Linked DNA regions of Oryctolagus cuniculus. The protein of the gene in region 3 interacts with the protein of the main gene of each other region in a pairwise test. Links are inferred from orthologs where the notes say so. Each region holds a gene or a part of one and is shown on either strand. Other genes may lie near its edges.

What was found.
Region 1: the proteins of USHBP1 (region 3) and CCDC116 interact in binary tests that used the Homo sapiens proteins (3 or more experiments, as listed by UniProt). The two-hybrid records come from large-scale screens. The link is inferred for Oryctolagus cuniculus from reciprocal best matches to the Homo sapiens genes USHBP1 and CCDC116.
Region 2: the proteins of USHBP1 (region 3) and FAM107A interact in binary tests that used the Homo sapiens proteins (3 or more experiments, as listed by UniProt). The two-hybrid records come from large-scale screens. The link is inferred for Oryctolagus cuniculus from reciprocal best matches to the Homo sapiens genes USHBP1 and FAM107A.

Annotation. Positions count from the first base shown.
Region 1 is NC_091452.1:29,154,158-29,158,467, reverse strand, and holds the start of CCDC116 (coiled-coil domain-containing protein 116), read left to right. Parts: upstream 1-1,500; 5' UTR 1,501-1,789; intron 1,790-2,053; 5' UTR 2,054-2,105; coding exon 2,106-2,177; intron 2,178-2,529; coding exon 2,530-3,075; intron 3,076-3,197; coding exon 3,198-3,782; intron 3,783-4,310.
Region 2 is NC_091441.1:91,399,282-91,403,525, forward strand, and holds the start of FAM107A (actin-associated protein FAM107A), read left to right. Parts: upstream 1-1,434; 5' UTR 1,435-1,745; coding exon 1,746-1,769; intron 1,770-4,244. UniProt on the Homo sapiens protein: Stress-inducible actin-binding protein that plays a role in synaptic and cognitive functions by modulating actin filamentous (F-actin) dynamics. Mediates polymerization of globular actin to F-actin. Also binds to, stabilizes and bundles F-actin.
Region 3 is NC_091447.1:65,254,486-65,258,234, forward strand, and holds the end of USHBP1 (harmonin-binding protein USHBP1), read right to left. Parts: coding exon 3,649-3,749; intron 3,522-3,648; coding exon 3,385-3,521; intron 3,199-3,384; coding exon 3,058-3,198; intron 2,982-3,057; coding exon 2,826-2,981; intron 2,734-2,825; coding exon 2,484-2,733; intron 2,259-2,483; coding exon 2,034-2,258; intron 1,401-2,033; coding exon 1,303-1,400; intron 1,126-1,302; coding exon 1,003-1,125; intron 750-1,002; coding exon 554-749; 3' UTR 507-553; downstream 1-506.

The sequences.
Region 1 (4,310 bases), on a different chromosome or scaffold from region 3:
GAGCTTTCTGAAGCCCTCCGTATTTGATATGCAAAATTGGAAGTGACCTTCCAGGGCTTTCTCTAAGCAAATCAACACACCCAATTCCTCTTCCTCCCCACCAAAAACTTTTTTTTGGTCTCATTTAGAGAAGATAAATATGATCACGCGAGTTTTATCTCATTATTTTTAAAGACTTATTCATTCGAGAGGCAAAGAGACAGAAAGTGGGAGAAGGAAGCGGGGCGGGGAGGGGGAGAGTTTTCCATCCGCTGGTTCACTCCCCAGATAGCTGCAACAGCCAGTGCTGGTCCTGGTAGACGTCAGGAGCCTGGAGCGCCATCCTGGTTCCCCTTGTGGGTGCAGGGACCCATGCACTCAGGCCATCTCCTGCTGCATTTCCAGGCACATTAGCAGGGAGCTGGATCGGAAGTGGAGCGGCCGGGACTCGAACCAGTGCTTGGATAAGGGATGGCATGCCAAGCTGCAGCTTAAGCTGCTGTGCCACAAGTACCCACCCTTAGCTCATTCTTGTAATTTTTTTTAATAAGAGTGTGTTTGGCTTTTTTCACTTTATTGGGTATTTTCATCTCCTTTTCAGATTGCCTGTTGTCCTTTGATGATTTTTTTTCCTCTAAGAGTGTTTCCCTTGATTTGTAAAAGCCTCAAATAATGAGAAAATGAACAAAACACGTACACCATTGTCCTCATAGGAAAGCAATAGCCCCGGCTTCCGTCTCAAGCCCTGTGCCAGCCCACAACTTTCACCTTCACGACATCACTTTTTTTTTTTTTTTTCTTTTGTCCCTTCTCTGGCCCAGGAAAGCTTTCCTTACCTGTGACTAAGAGTCACCATGAAAAACAGAGTTTTTGTTATATCCGCGACTGTCTTTGGTTTTCCCTATGGGGAAGGGTCTATCCGTGCCCAGACTATGAAGTCGGTAATGCCATTCTTGTTCCATGGCCGTAGATCCTGAGGCTCAGATCCAAGAGGCATGGTCCTGCTGGGGAGTAGTGGAGTTGGGCCTGGCCCGGTGGTCCCGGGTTGGCTCCGGTCCTGTTGGCCCCCTACCTCAGGGCCAGAGTGGACTCTGAAAATGACAAACAAGGCATCAGGGAACCTGGACAGGGCTGGAGGCTTCACAGAGCCCTTCTCCCGGGCTCTTGGCCTAGGAGGCTGCTGTAACGACCACTGATGACCCCAGTCCACCACCGCCGCCCACTGGGAAGCTGATCCCAGAAAGGTCAGAGGCTGGGGCTGGCGGGGTCACAGACTGGAAGGTGGAAACTGGCATATACTGAGCACCCACTGGGTGCCAGACCTTGGAAATATCAGAGGTTAGGGGTGACTGGCTCAAGCTCTGCCCAAAGCAGGCGCCTGTCACACAAGCAGGTGACACCCTGATGGGGGTATTGTCTCCCAGTGGTGCCGTCAAAGCTGTGGCTCTGGCTCGCAAGGTCCCCGCAGCACAGGTGCGGACCACGGCTCCAGGGGCCGGACCGAGCCGGGTCGGGGCGGGGGGTGGGGGGGTGGGTAGCAGCTTCTCTCTGGTCCCCTGGCTCTCGGAGAATGGGGCGGGGCGGAGCGAAACCCTGCCCAGCGAGGGAGGAACCAAGGCAGACCACGCCCCCACAACCATTGTGTCGGGGGAGTTAGCGGGCGACCGTCCCAGTGTAAGCCAATCAGAGCTCGGTATGCAAATTAGTGAGCTGGGCGGCCGCCTGGAGACTCGAAGCGGTCCGCGCCGCTGCCCTCCCTCCGGCGGGCGCACGGGGCGCAGGACCGCGCGCGGCAGAGCCGGGGTCTCAGGTGAGCGGGTGGGTGGGCCGGGGCCGGGAGCAGAGGCCGGGTCACGCGGGGTCTGGGAGCGCACTCAAACCCAGAGATGCTCGGAGGCACGATTTCTGACGCTCTTCGGAGGACCCCCCACCCCAATACACACACACACACACACACACATACTCCAGGCTCATCAGACTGTCCGCAGATGCCTGGGGATCGCGGGGTGCGGGGAGACTGTCCCCCTGGAGCCTGGATAGACCCTCACAGCCGTCTCCCCGTCCTTGCGCGCAGTGCTGTGGATCGCAAAGAGAGGAAGCCGGCAGGGGGCCTGGCCACCCGCACCATGGCCAGCTTCCGCTACCACTCGGGATACTTGGCCGACGATGAGGCCGGCCACAGTCCCTATGTGGCCCGGGTAAGTGATCCCCCGCAGGACGCTGACCCCAGGGATCCCTGTGCGTTCCCCCTGAAACCACAGCCCCCTTGCTCGGTGCCTGTGGGCCTCCTTAAGCAGCCGTTGCCGCTGCCTTGTCCTTGCCCGGGGCCCTCCTGGGGCCTCATCACCCCCCACTTCCCTTCCCCGTGTCCCCCGCTGACCTCCAGCGACCCCAGGAGGGGTCCTCGGGGCCTAGGGCTCAAGGTGAAGAAGTAGGTGCTCCGGACAGGGGCGACGGAGCTGGCCTTGGGCATATGGGGAGCCAGGGTCCTCTTCGCCCTGTAAAAGGTGTCCCTGCCCACTACCCACTGTGCTCTGCCTGTCTGCCCAGGTGCAGTCTCTCAAGAAACCCCCATTGCCACAAATGGGGTCGGCCCGTGTGCCACCCCCGCGGTTCACGCAGGGCACCTCAGCGCAGCCAGGTCCCCACCGAGACACCAAGGGCCCCCAGTCCTTCGGCAGCTTCCTGGATTTCCTGACCGAGGGTCAGGTGCTCGAGAGCCTGCAGACGGTGGTAGAGGAGGCCACGGAGCGCATGGCCACCATGAAGACGGGGGCTGGCGTGCCGCTGGTGGAGGTGCGAGATCCAGTGGTGGAGCCTGCCAGCGGAGGGCGGCGGCCCCGGGCCCGGCCCACCTGGAGCACGGTCTGCCGGAACCGCGCTCAGCCCAGCCTGTGTGTTGGCCGCCCCAACAACTATCCATCCCGCTCCAGCTCCGTGTCGGACTCCCGCAGCAGCCTCACTGCTGGCTGGCTGGGGTCCCATGGCCAGGGCAGTGACCTGGGGGCCCGAGGCTCAGGCTCCCTGCCCCCTCTGAAAGACAGGCTTTTGCTGGAGCAGAGCCTCAAGCGGTTACTGAAACTGGAGAGGAAAGGGGTGAGATCCGAGGGCAAGGCTTGGCGGGGTGGGGATGCGGTGGGGTGGGGCGGAGACTGGGGCGGGAGGGGCTGGCGGCTTGGCAGGATCCTGGGCAAGTGTGATTCCCCCTCTCTCCGCAGAAAAGCAGGAGTCAGCCCTCCCGGAAGGACTCCCTGCGGTGGGATTCCCTGGGCAGCCAGACCACCAGCCAGTGGTCCCCGGAGCAGCCCCTGTCCTGGTTCTCAGACCTGCTGAGTTCCAGCACGGGCACCCCGGAAGCATCAGGGCAGACGCCCAGTGAGGAGGAGCTGAGCTTCCTCAAGCAGGAGTTCGACAAAAAGCTCATGGCGCTACTGAGCCAGCCGGCGGCCCTCGACCTGCCTGGCTACTGCTCGCTGCGCCAGCCCCACTGCACCCTGGACTTTCTGGCTCAGCATCACCTGTTCCCCGCGCTGCAGAGCGTGGTCAGCCAAGCTGTGGACAAGCTCAGCGGTGCCCGGCGGCACGACGGCTGCCCACTCTTCCCCGCCAACGCGGAGGCCTCATCAGAGCTGCCCCTCCACTACAATCTGCTGCCCCCAGGCTCCCAGCTGGCCTCGCCCACCGACAAGGAGGAGGCAGCATCCCCCAACACCACCACCTCCATCCCCAGGACGGAGCGCAGGAAAAGCAAGGGCACACGGGGCTCCCCCTCCATGACTAGTGCCACCAGATTCAAGCTCAAGGTGACACCCACGGGAGAGCCCGCTGTCCCAAGCCTCTCACATCACCCCAAGCAGGAGGGGCCTGTCTCAGAGCCCGAATCCCAGAAACCGCCTGTGTCCCTGAGCTCCAGCCACAGGGCCCGGCCCTGGCGGGGCCTGCACCTCACGCTGCCAGCCCCTGGGGTCACGGTGGAGGTGGCCTCCAGCCATGGGCGCCTCAGGGGCCCGATCACGCCTCCACCCCTGTCCTCCTGCCCGTCCTCTCCCCGCTACTTCGTCCCCATGCCCTCTCCCACCACATCCTTAGTAAGAAGCCTTTCCCAGTCCTCGGCTTCTCTCTGCCAGGGCTTGCATTCCCTGGGACCTAGACTGTGGGCCAAGGGCTCCTTCACCCACCACTGCTAGCAGCGCTGTCACCAGGCAGGGCGGCCCCAGGGACCAGGCCTCTTGCCCAGTGCTGTTGGAAATCTCCCGGGCAGGGGACAAAAGCCGATGGAGGGTGTTTATCTAAAAAGAAAAAAAAAAAAAAAGAAGAAGAAGAATAAAAGT
Region 2 (4,244 bases), on a different chromosome or scaffold from region 3:
GTCGGCCGTGACGTCATTCACTCCGCTAATGCTCATTCCTCTGCTGCTACCAGTTTAACAACTAACACAGGCGAATGCTGTTCTACACTCAGGGGATCAAGGGAGGAACGAGACTGCTGAGGCCCAGCCTTCTCGGGGCTGCCACCCAGGCAGGGGACTCAGATGGTGAACACAGAAATAGTACCAGTTCAGCTGCTGAACAGGCACCAATAATATTAGTGATAATAAAAACAGCTTATGGGGCTCTTTCCACACAAGGTCAGAGAAGCCGCCTAGAGGAGGTGATAGTTGAGCCTGAAGGCAAAAAGGAGGAAAACTTCAGGCAAAGATCAGAAATGAGGAGTAGGGAGCAGAAGGAAACATTCAGGCAGAGAAGAGCAGGTGCAAAGGTCCTGGGGTAGCAGGGAATGAGTTTCGGGGAGAGCGGGGAGTGGCAATGAGGTTCTAGCCCAGGCCAGCAAGCCCTGTCAGACCAGACCATGTGGCCCATCAGCACAGCCGGATCCTTGACCCTCCCCCACCCACTGCCAGTCCATACACCATCTATGGCTGTACTGTGGGTACCTACTGTTAGAAGAGGGAGGCTGACCATGCACCTCTGGGGACAGTGTCTGTGTGGATCAAACTGGTCGTCCAGGACTCCCCAGGGTGACGCGGAATAGCATGGCAACACCTCTCCTGACTCAGTGGAGGCTCACAGCCCTGCAGACACACCACTCCGTGACTGCCTGGATGCACCCCTCACCCCGAGGGGCAGGGTCGATGCCATCCCCTCTGGTTAAGCATGACATTGTAAAACGGGCAGCAACATGATCTGGTTCAGGACACACCAAACCGCCGGCTGCAGCAGCACACACACGCCCTCCCCACCCCCCTTTCCGCCGCTGGCGGCAGGACTGGCTCTCTGACCTACCCCACTCGGAACAAGAGACAGAGGCTCAGGGAGATCCCATCCCATCCCCAGGGCACACAGCTGTGGGGGACGGAGCTAGGATCCAAGCCCCAGTGACAGTGACAGCAGCTTCATCTCTGCCCCACACGGGTGTGGCAAGGCGAGGGAGGGGGGTGGCAAGGGAAAGGAGGGTGCACCTGGGCGCTGTGGTTTGGAGCCTGGAATCTGGGCTCCAGGCATCGTCCTGGCCGGAGCAGGCGGGACACGCCACCCGCCTCCCGCCTCCCGCTGAATGAACGAGTCAGCCCAGACTCCAGGATCTGTAATGAGTGATGCTGCCCAGCCCGAGGTGGATGGCGCCACACAAGCCCGCCCCGAGCCCTGCACCCTGGCCGCCCCCAGCAGCCTCCACCGTCTGGCCCTGTCTGCTGAGCCCTGTCCAGCCAGGCAAGCAGGCCAAGTCCTGCCCGCTGGGCCAGCCAGAGGTCACCCTCCACCCACAGCGAGAGCACTGCCAGCTGCTCGCCCGGGGCTCTCGGGGCCTCAGTTTCCCTTCCTGAGAGACGCAGGGGTCTGGGAGGGAAGGAGCTGCAAAGGGGACGTGGAGGGCATGGGGGCAGCCTGGGGACACTGGCCCCTCTGTCAGGATCAATCTCCCTAAGCCTGTCTGAGGCGCTGCAGGCTTAGGAGCCGCTGTGAAAGCCGTCCTTGTGCCTGGGAGAATGAAGCTCAAGAGGAAGGGGGCCCCTGGCCCCCGGGGCCCCTCGGGCCCTGGCTCCTGAGATCAGCGCCAGCAGGGAAGACCCCAGCCAGGCCCCTGCGGCCCACCCAAGCCTGGTGCCTGCTTCGTGCCATGGGAGCGGTCCAGGGGAAGAAGGTAAGAGCCCCCTCCCCTCCTACTAGGGACCTGGACATGGCAGGGGGGATGGGGGCGGAGGGAGAGACACGGGACCCCCACCCACCTTGGAGCCAGCTCTGCCTCTCAGCTCCCAGCCAGGATTTGCATCTGGAAAGCTGGTTGGGGCTCAGGGCAAAGCCGGCATCCTAGGGGTAGCCTGAGATCCCATGTCCCTGAACACAGATCCCTGGCCACCCTCTCCCCATGGCCCAGGGGCAGTGGCCAGCACAGGTGATACAGGGAAAAAGATTAAAAAATATTCATGACGATGATAAAGCCGGCCAACCGGCTGCTGTCGGCGGTGGGGGATGGGCAGGTGACTTCAGTTTTTGTCCCTCAGTTCCTCATCTGTAAAATACACACGGTGCACAGCCACTGCCCCCGGAGGCTCCTCGCGAACAAGTACCAGAGGGTGTAGGACAGCACCTGGGCGTGGCGGCTCTGGGCACGCATGCGTTCTGTGATCGTCAGGCTGCTACTGGTGCTGTGATTCACAGGCTCTCTGATGGGGGGTGTGGGGGCTGTCCTTGTGGCCCGTGCGGCTGATTTACGGGGTGTAGCACGGTGGGAGTTCATCAGTCCTCCTCCAGGTCCTCCCCCACACCTTTTGCACCCAAGGCTCTTGGGGAGAGGCTCTGTGTTTATTCACCCTCTCACGGCCCACAGGGTCCCAGGCCTGCAGGTCAGCCCGGTGGTCAGGCTGCCAGGGCCCACCCACCATGGCAGGACCTGCACCTGCTCTGGCCCCTGGGCCCCTGTCTGTACAATGGGCTGGCAGGTGCCTGTGAAGTGCTGAGCCCACTGCCTGACACACAGCGGACCCTTCTGGACAGGGGGCTCTGACCCTCACACACCCGAGACGACCTACTGCAGTAAGGATGTGGTGACACAGGGACGGGCGGTCAGTGTGGTGATGACATCACCACCCGGGACAGCTGCATCCCACATCAGAGTGCCTGGGTTCGAGTCCCAGCTCCACTCCATTGCAGCTTCCTGCTCATGCGCACCCTGGTAGGTCACAGGTGGGAGACCTGGAGGGAGCTCCAGGCTCCTGGCTTCTGCCTGGCCCAGTCCCAGCTATATTGTAGGTATTTGGGCCAGCAGATGGGAGAACTCTCAATCAATCAATCTTTCTCTCCCCCCCTCCTTTCTTTCTCAGTCTCTCTCTCTCAAATAAATAATTTTTAAAAAGGATGAGGGAACTCAGGCTCAGAGGAAAGAAGTGAATTTTATTATTTATTTATTTATTTGGGCAGCAGAGAGACTAAGAAGACAGACAGGGGCGGCCTATGTCCCAAGTGGTAGCTTCACCCCGTTCCAAATTCCCACCCTGAGAACGATTTCTCACCCAGGGTCACGGAGCCCACGTACGCAGAGGGCGGGATTTTTGACCCCAGTCTCCCCAACCCCAAACTTCCAGGTGCCCAGCTCATCCCCTCCCTCCTGGTCCGTAACTGTCCACTGCATCTACACTCGCCTCCACCCCACCCACCCACAGGACCCTGTTCTCTGGGCACCGGCTGGGAGCCTGAGGTGAGCAAGGGTCCAAGCCACGCAGGACCCCCTGCAGCAGCTCACCTGGCCTCCCGGAGCCTCCCACAGCAGGACGAGCAAGGTGCCTGGCTCACAGCAGGTGCTCGGGGCAGTGGGTGCCAATGGCTGCTGTAGGGGCTTCAGGGGCAGCAGCCGCAGGGCCGGGGGTGGCCCCGTCTCCAAGCCCTCGGGGTCAGCCTCCGAAGGCTGGGTCACGTACATTCTCTGCAACATCTCCCGAGGCTCACGCCATCCCGTTCTTCACATCCCCAAAGGGTGCCAGCTGCCAACCCCGGCCAGGTTTACCGAGACACTCATCGCTGTGCATTTGTGGCCACTGAAACACACAGAGCGTGGGGGGCGGGGGGGTGAGGGGGACATGGGTAAAACGGCTGCATTTGCTGAGCAGCCTGAAGGGAGGTTTGCTTCTGATGGAGCCCCCAGATGCACGCACCTGGCTGGGCCCTGCTGGCTGCCCAGTTATCCCCACTCATGATGGATGGGCCCAGCCGGACACAGGGAAGGTTCCGGCTCCTGGCTGCCCAGCTTAGCAGCGTAGGATCGCCTCACCAAGAACCCCAGGACCCCCACAGCATCTCCTGTCTGCACCCCACTCCACAGTGCCGTGGGGAGTCCTGGCCTCCAGCAGGAGCCCAGGGGAGGGAACAGAGAGTGGCCCCGGCCCCCAGCAGAGCCGAGCCCCTCTTGTGCCTGCAGCCCCTCACCCAGCCTGGGTACGTGGGATCAGTCCACTTCTCCACCTGCATGGCTCGTCCAGTGGCCTGCAGAGAATGCCCCTGCGCTCACGACCACTCTCCCACACCCACTGCCCTCTGGGCCCAGGGCCCCACATACACACGCCCACTCTTGTAGGTCTCCAACCACGTGTGCACTGAGTTCCCACTAGGAGATCACAGGGGA
Region 3 (3,749 bases):
CATGCTAATCAGTCGCCTGCAATTAACCTGGCAGGAACGCCTCCCGCTGCCCCCAACCTCCGCGGGAGATCTGGAAGCTCCCAGGCTGCCCAGGGCCCGGCAGGCCTGTGCCCCACCCCCTCCCCGGAAGGACACGCATCGAGAGTTCCAGACTTTTCTCTGATGCCTGCCCTCAGCCTCCACAAACCCTGATTCCTCTTCCAGCCGACCATCCACGCCTTGAACCTGAACCTGAACCCCAACCTTGGGGGCCTCCAGTTGTTCTGGATTGTTCCCTGGGAAGCAGATGGGCAGGGGACGAGTGTCCTGTCCCCAGGGGCCCGCCCTGGGTTTCTGGACAAAGAAAGGACTTGGGGACATCAGCTCGGGCTCTGCCACCTTCCCTGTCCCCTGGATTGATTGTTCCGGGTCCCGGGGGGGGGAGGGGGAGACCATGACCTTCACAGCCTGACCCCGGTGGCCCAGGCAACCGGTCCCCACCCATGAGGACACATGCACCCCAGGGCGACAAGTCACTCCAGGCCGGTTTATGACACGTGGCTGGGGGTGGAGCCTACAGCAAGGTCTCCCCAAGCTGGGGGGGAGGAGGCGGGCAGGGGCACCCGGGCTGTTCCAGCGCCCGGGCCGTGGCTTCCAGTGCTGCCAACTCCTCCGCCTGCCGGGCCTCCAGGATTGCCACCTGCTCCTCCAACTTGCGCCGCTGCTCCTCCTGCTTCCGGTGGGCGCCTCTGAACGCCAGGACCAGGGCACTGCAGGGTGTGGGTGGCTGAGCCGGGGAACAGCGCCCCACCCCAGAGAACAGCACCCCCACCCCACCCAGGGCTGCGGCGGGGGCGGGGCGGGGCGCCGCGGGGGCGGGGCTACGTCCTAGCTGGCTCCGGGCATCCTGCAGGAAAGGCGTGGCCTGCACTGCACCCGCTCACTATCTTCCAAGTGGGGGGAACGAGGCCCAGGGACACACCCGCGGTCAGCAGGGGTGGGCTGCGGGGGGCGGCGGCCCACCTGTGCGCCTTGCATAGATCGCTGTTCAGCTCGGCGCTCTGAGCCCGCCGGACGCGCCCCTTCTGAGCCACCTGCTCCAGCTCCCGCCACAGAGCCCGCAGCTGAGCGCGAAGATCCGCGGCCCTGGCGCGGGAGTGGAGACAGCGGGGCTCCGGCCGCGGCCCGACCCGGTCCTCCTCTCCGCTCCCCACGCCCCTGCGCGCAGGCGCACGCTGCCACACCACACACACACACACACACACACACACACACACACGTCCCCACCCCCGCCTCCTCCGCAGAACCCACCCAGGCACACACCTGGCGAGCGAAGCGGCCAGCTCCTGGGCTAACCTCTCCGGGTCCCACGCCCTGCCCACCTGGCCTCCCTCGGTGGCGTTGGGGACAGCAGGAGGACCCTGTAGGAGACAGAAGGGAGGGAGGTGACCTCTGTCTAGAAGTGCTCAGCCCAGCCTGGGCATAGAAGCTGGCCTGGGGGGGGGGCAGCCAGAGCCCCTCGCTTCCCAGAGCCCCCATTCTGCTAAGAGACCCTCAAGTCCCTGATAAGGGAGATAAGTCACAGGGCCGGGGTGGGGTGGGGTGCCGAATATTGCTCCTTTGAGGGCAACCCAGGAGGGCTTCCTGGAGACGGTGGACATTCCTGGTGGCAGCACCGGCTTGCAGGTGGGAGGGGTGATGCGAAGAGCCCCGTTTAGAAGCCTGGGGCAGGGGCGGTGTGGTGGCACCGCGGGGCGGGCTGCTGCCTGGGACAGCCGTGGCCGTATCAGAGTGTTGGTGGCGTCCCAGCTGATCTGCGTGCGCCCCAGCTCCCTGCGCATGCGCCCCCTGGGAGGCAGGGGCCCACGACTCCAGGGCTTGGGTCCTGCCGCCCACGTGGGAGACCCGGATGGAGCTCCCGGCTCCTGGCCCAGACCCGGCCTTTGCAGCCATGTGGGGAGTGAACCGGCAGATGGAAGACCTCTCTCCCTCTCTCTCTCTCATCCACTGAACCCCTAGGGGCCAAGGGCAGCGACCCCCGAAGGGCCGCTCACCTGGGGCCGCTCCTCCTCCTCCTCCTCGCTGCTGCCCGCCCCGCTGCTGTCCCCCGCGCCGCTGTGGGGCCCCGCGGCTCCCAGCTGCGCGCGCTCCCACTGTAGCTGCTCCAGCAGGAGTGCGTGGGCGGGGCCCTGGGCGCGCAGCGCCGCCTCCCGCAGCTCCAGGCCCCGCTTCTCCCGCCGCACCAGCTGCAGCTGCAACATCAGGTCCGCCAGGGTCTCCTGAGGGGTCGGGGAGGGGAAACTGAGGCTGGCGAGCACGTTTGGGAAAAACTGGATTGAGAGGTCTGTGAGTAACAAAACTCCTATTCATCCCTCAAAACCCCAGCTTCAATTCTCCCTCCAGGAAGCCCTTCCCAGCCCAGCAGAACCTTTCCCCCTCCCCATCCCAACCACACCTCTGTCGGTTCTGACCCCCCCCCCCCAGGGACCACAGCCCCTGTGTACCCGTGTGGCCACCAGTTCCCTCTGTATCTCCATCTTCTCCAACCGCGGCAGGGCCGGGCCGGGCTGGGCTTCCAGCATGGCCTGCACCATGGCTTCTGCGTGGGGCATGGTGGGCGTGGGCTCCACGGTGGGGCCCGGCTCTGGGGGGGTCTTCACCAGAGCCTGGCGCTGCCGCAGACGCCGGGCATAGCCCTGCAGCAGGGCGGCCACTTCCTGCGGTGTGGGTTTATCCACACTGCTGCCCTCGGGGCTGCGGGAGGAGAGGAGGAGTGGGTGCCGCAGGCCATCACGGAGGCCAGCCCCGGGGAGCCCCAAGGCCCAGCGCGGTCCCCGGGCGCCTACCTTGGCTGTGCCTTCCGCGGTGCCGCGGCGTCTGCGCCGCCCTCCTCCTGTGCCAGCAGCCGCCACGCCTCCCTCTCAGTGGCCTCCAAGTCCCGCGCTCCGGAGCTGGCCTCGTGCAGGGCCAGGAGAGCCGCGCACACGGCCTCACGGTGCTCACTGCGGGACGGGGGTCCTGAGCGCCCTCCCACGCCGTGGCTCGCGGCCCCTCCCCCGCGGGGACCTCTCCCCTGACCTGTCCTGCAGCGCCAGCCGCAGGGCTGTAGCCTCGGCTTCCCGCTGGCTCAGCCGCATGCTGAGGCTCTCACACCGGCCCTTGCGCCCTTGCAGCACGGCCAGTAGCAGCCGGTTGAAGCATTTGAGCTTCTCGATGTTTCTGTCTCGGGGTGGGGGAGGGAGAGGGAAAACGAGGGGACTCTTTGGAGGGGGGGAGCAGCCAGGGGCCAGTTTCCACCCCGCTCCTACCCCGTTTAGACGCCCATCCCCGGGGCTTAGACGCCCATCCCCGGGGCGGCAGGACAGCGGCCGGTGCCCTTAAAAGCTCAGCAGTGGTGGCGCTCACCCGCGGAGCTGTTCCATCTGGGCCTCCAGGATCTGCATCTCGGGGGCCAGGGGTCGCGAGGGGAGAGAGCCCAGGATGTGCACACTGGAGTCACTCCGGATGCGCCGGAGCAGCGGGTGAGCCAGGGAGAGGGAGTCCTGCAGGGAGGACGTGTGCCCTGAGCCAGCCAGATGGCCACCGAGAACCCAGGGCCATGCAACCCCCCAGAGCCAGGATCCGGGTCTCCCCTGCCTGGATGCTGCGGGTTGCGCCTCTCGCACTCACCTGACCCCCCCAGGGCTCCCCATCCGCCCCAGAACTGCTAGAACCACTCCCTGAGCCTCCAGCGTGGCTGTGGGTGCGCGGAGACAGGGGCTCCAGCCTCA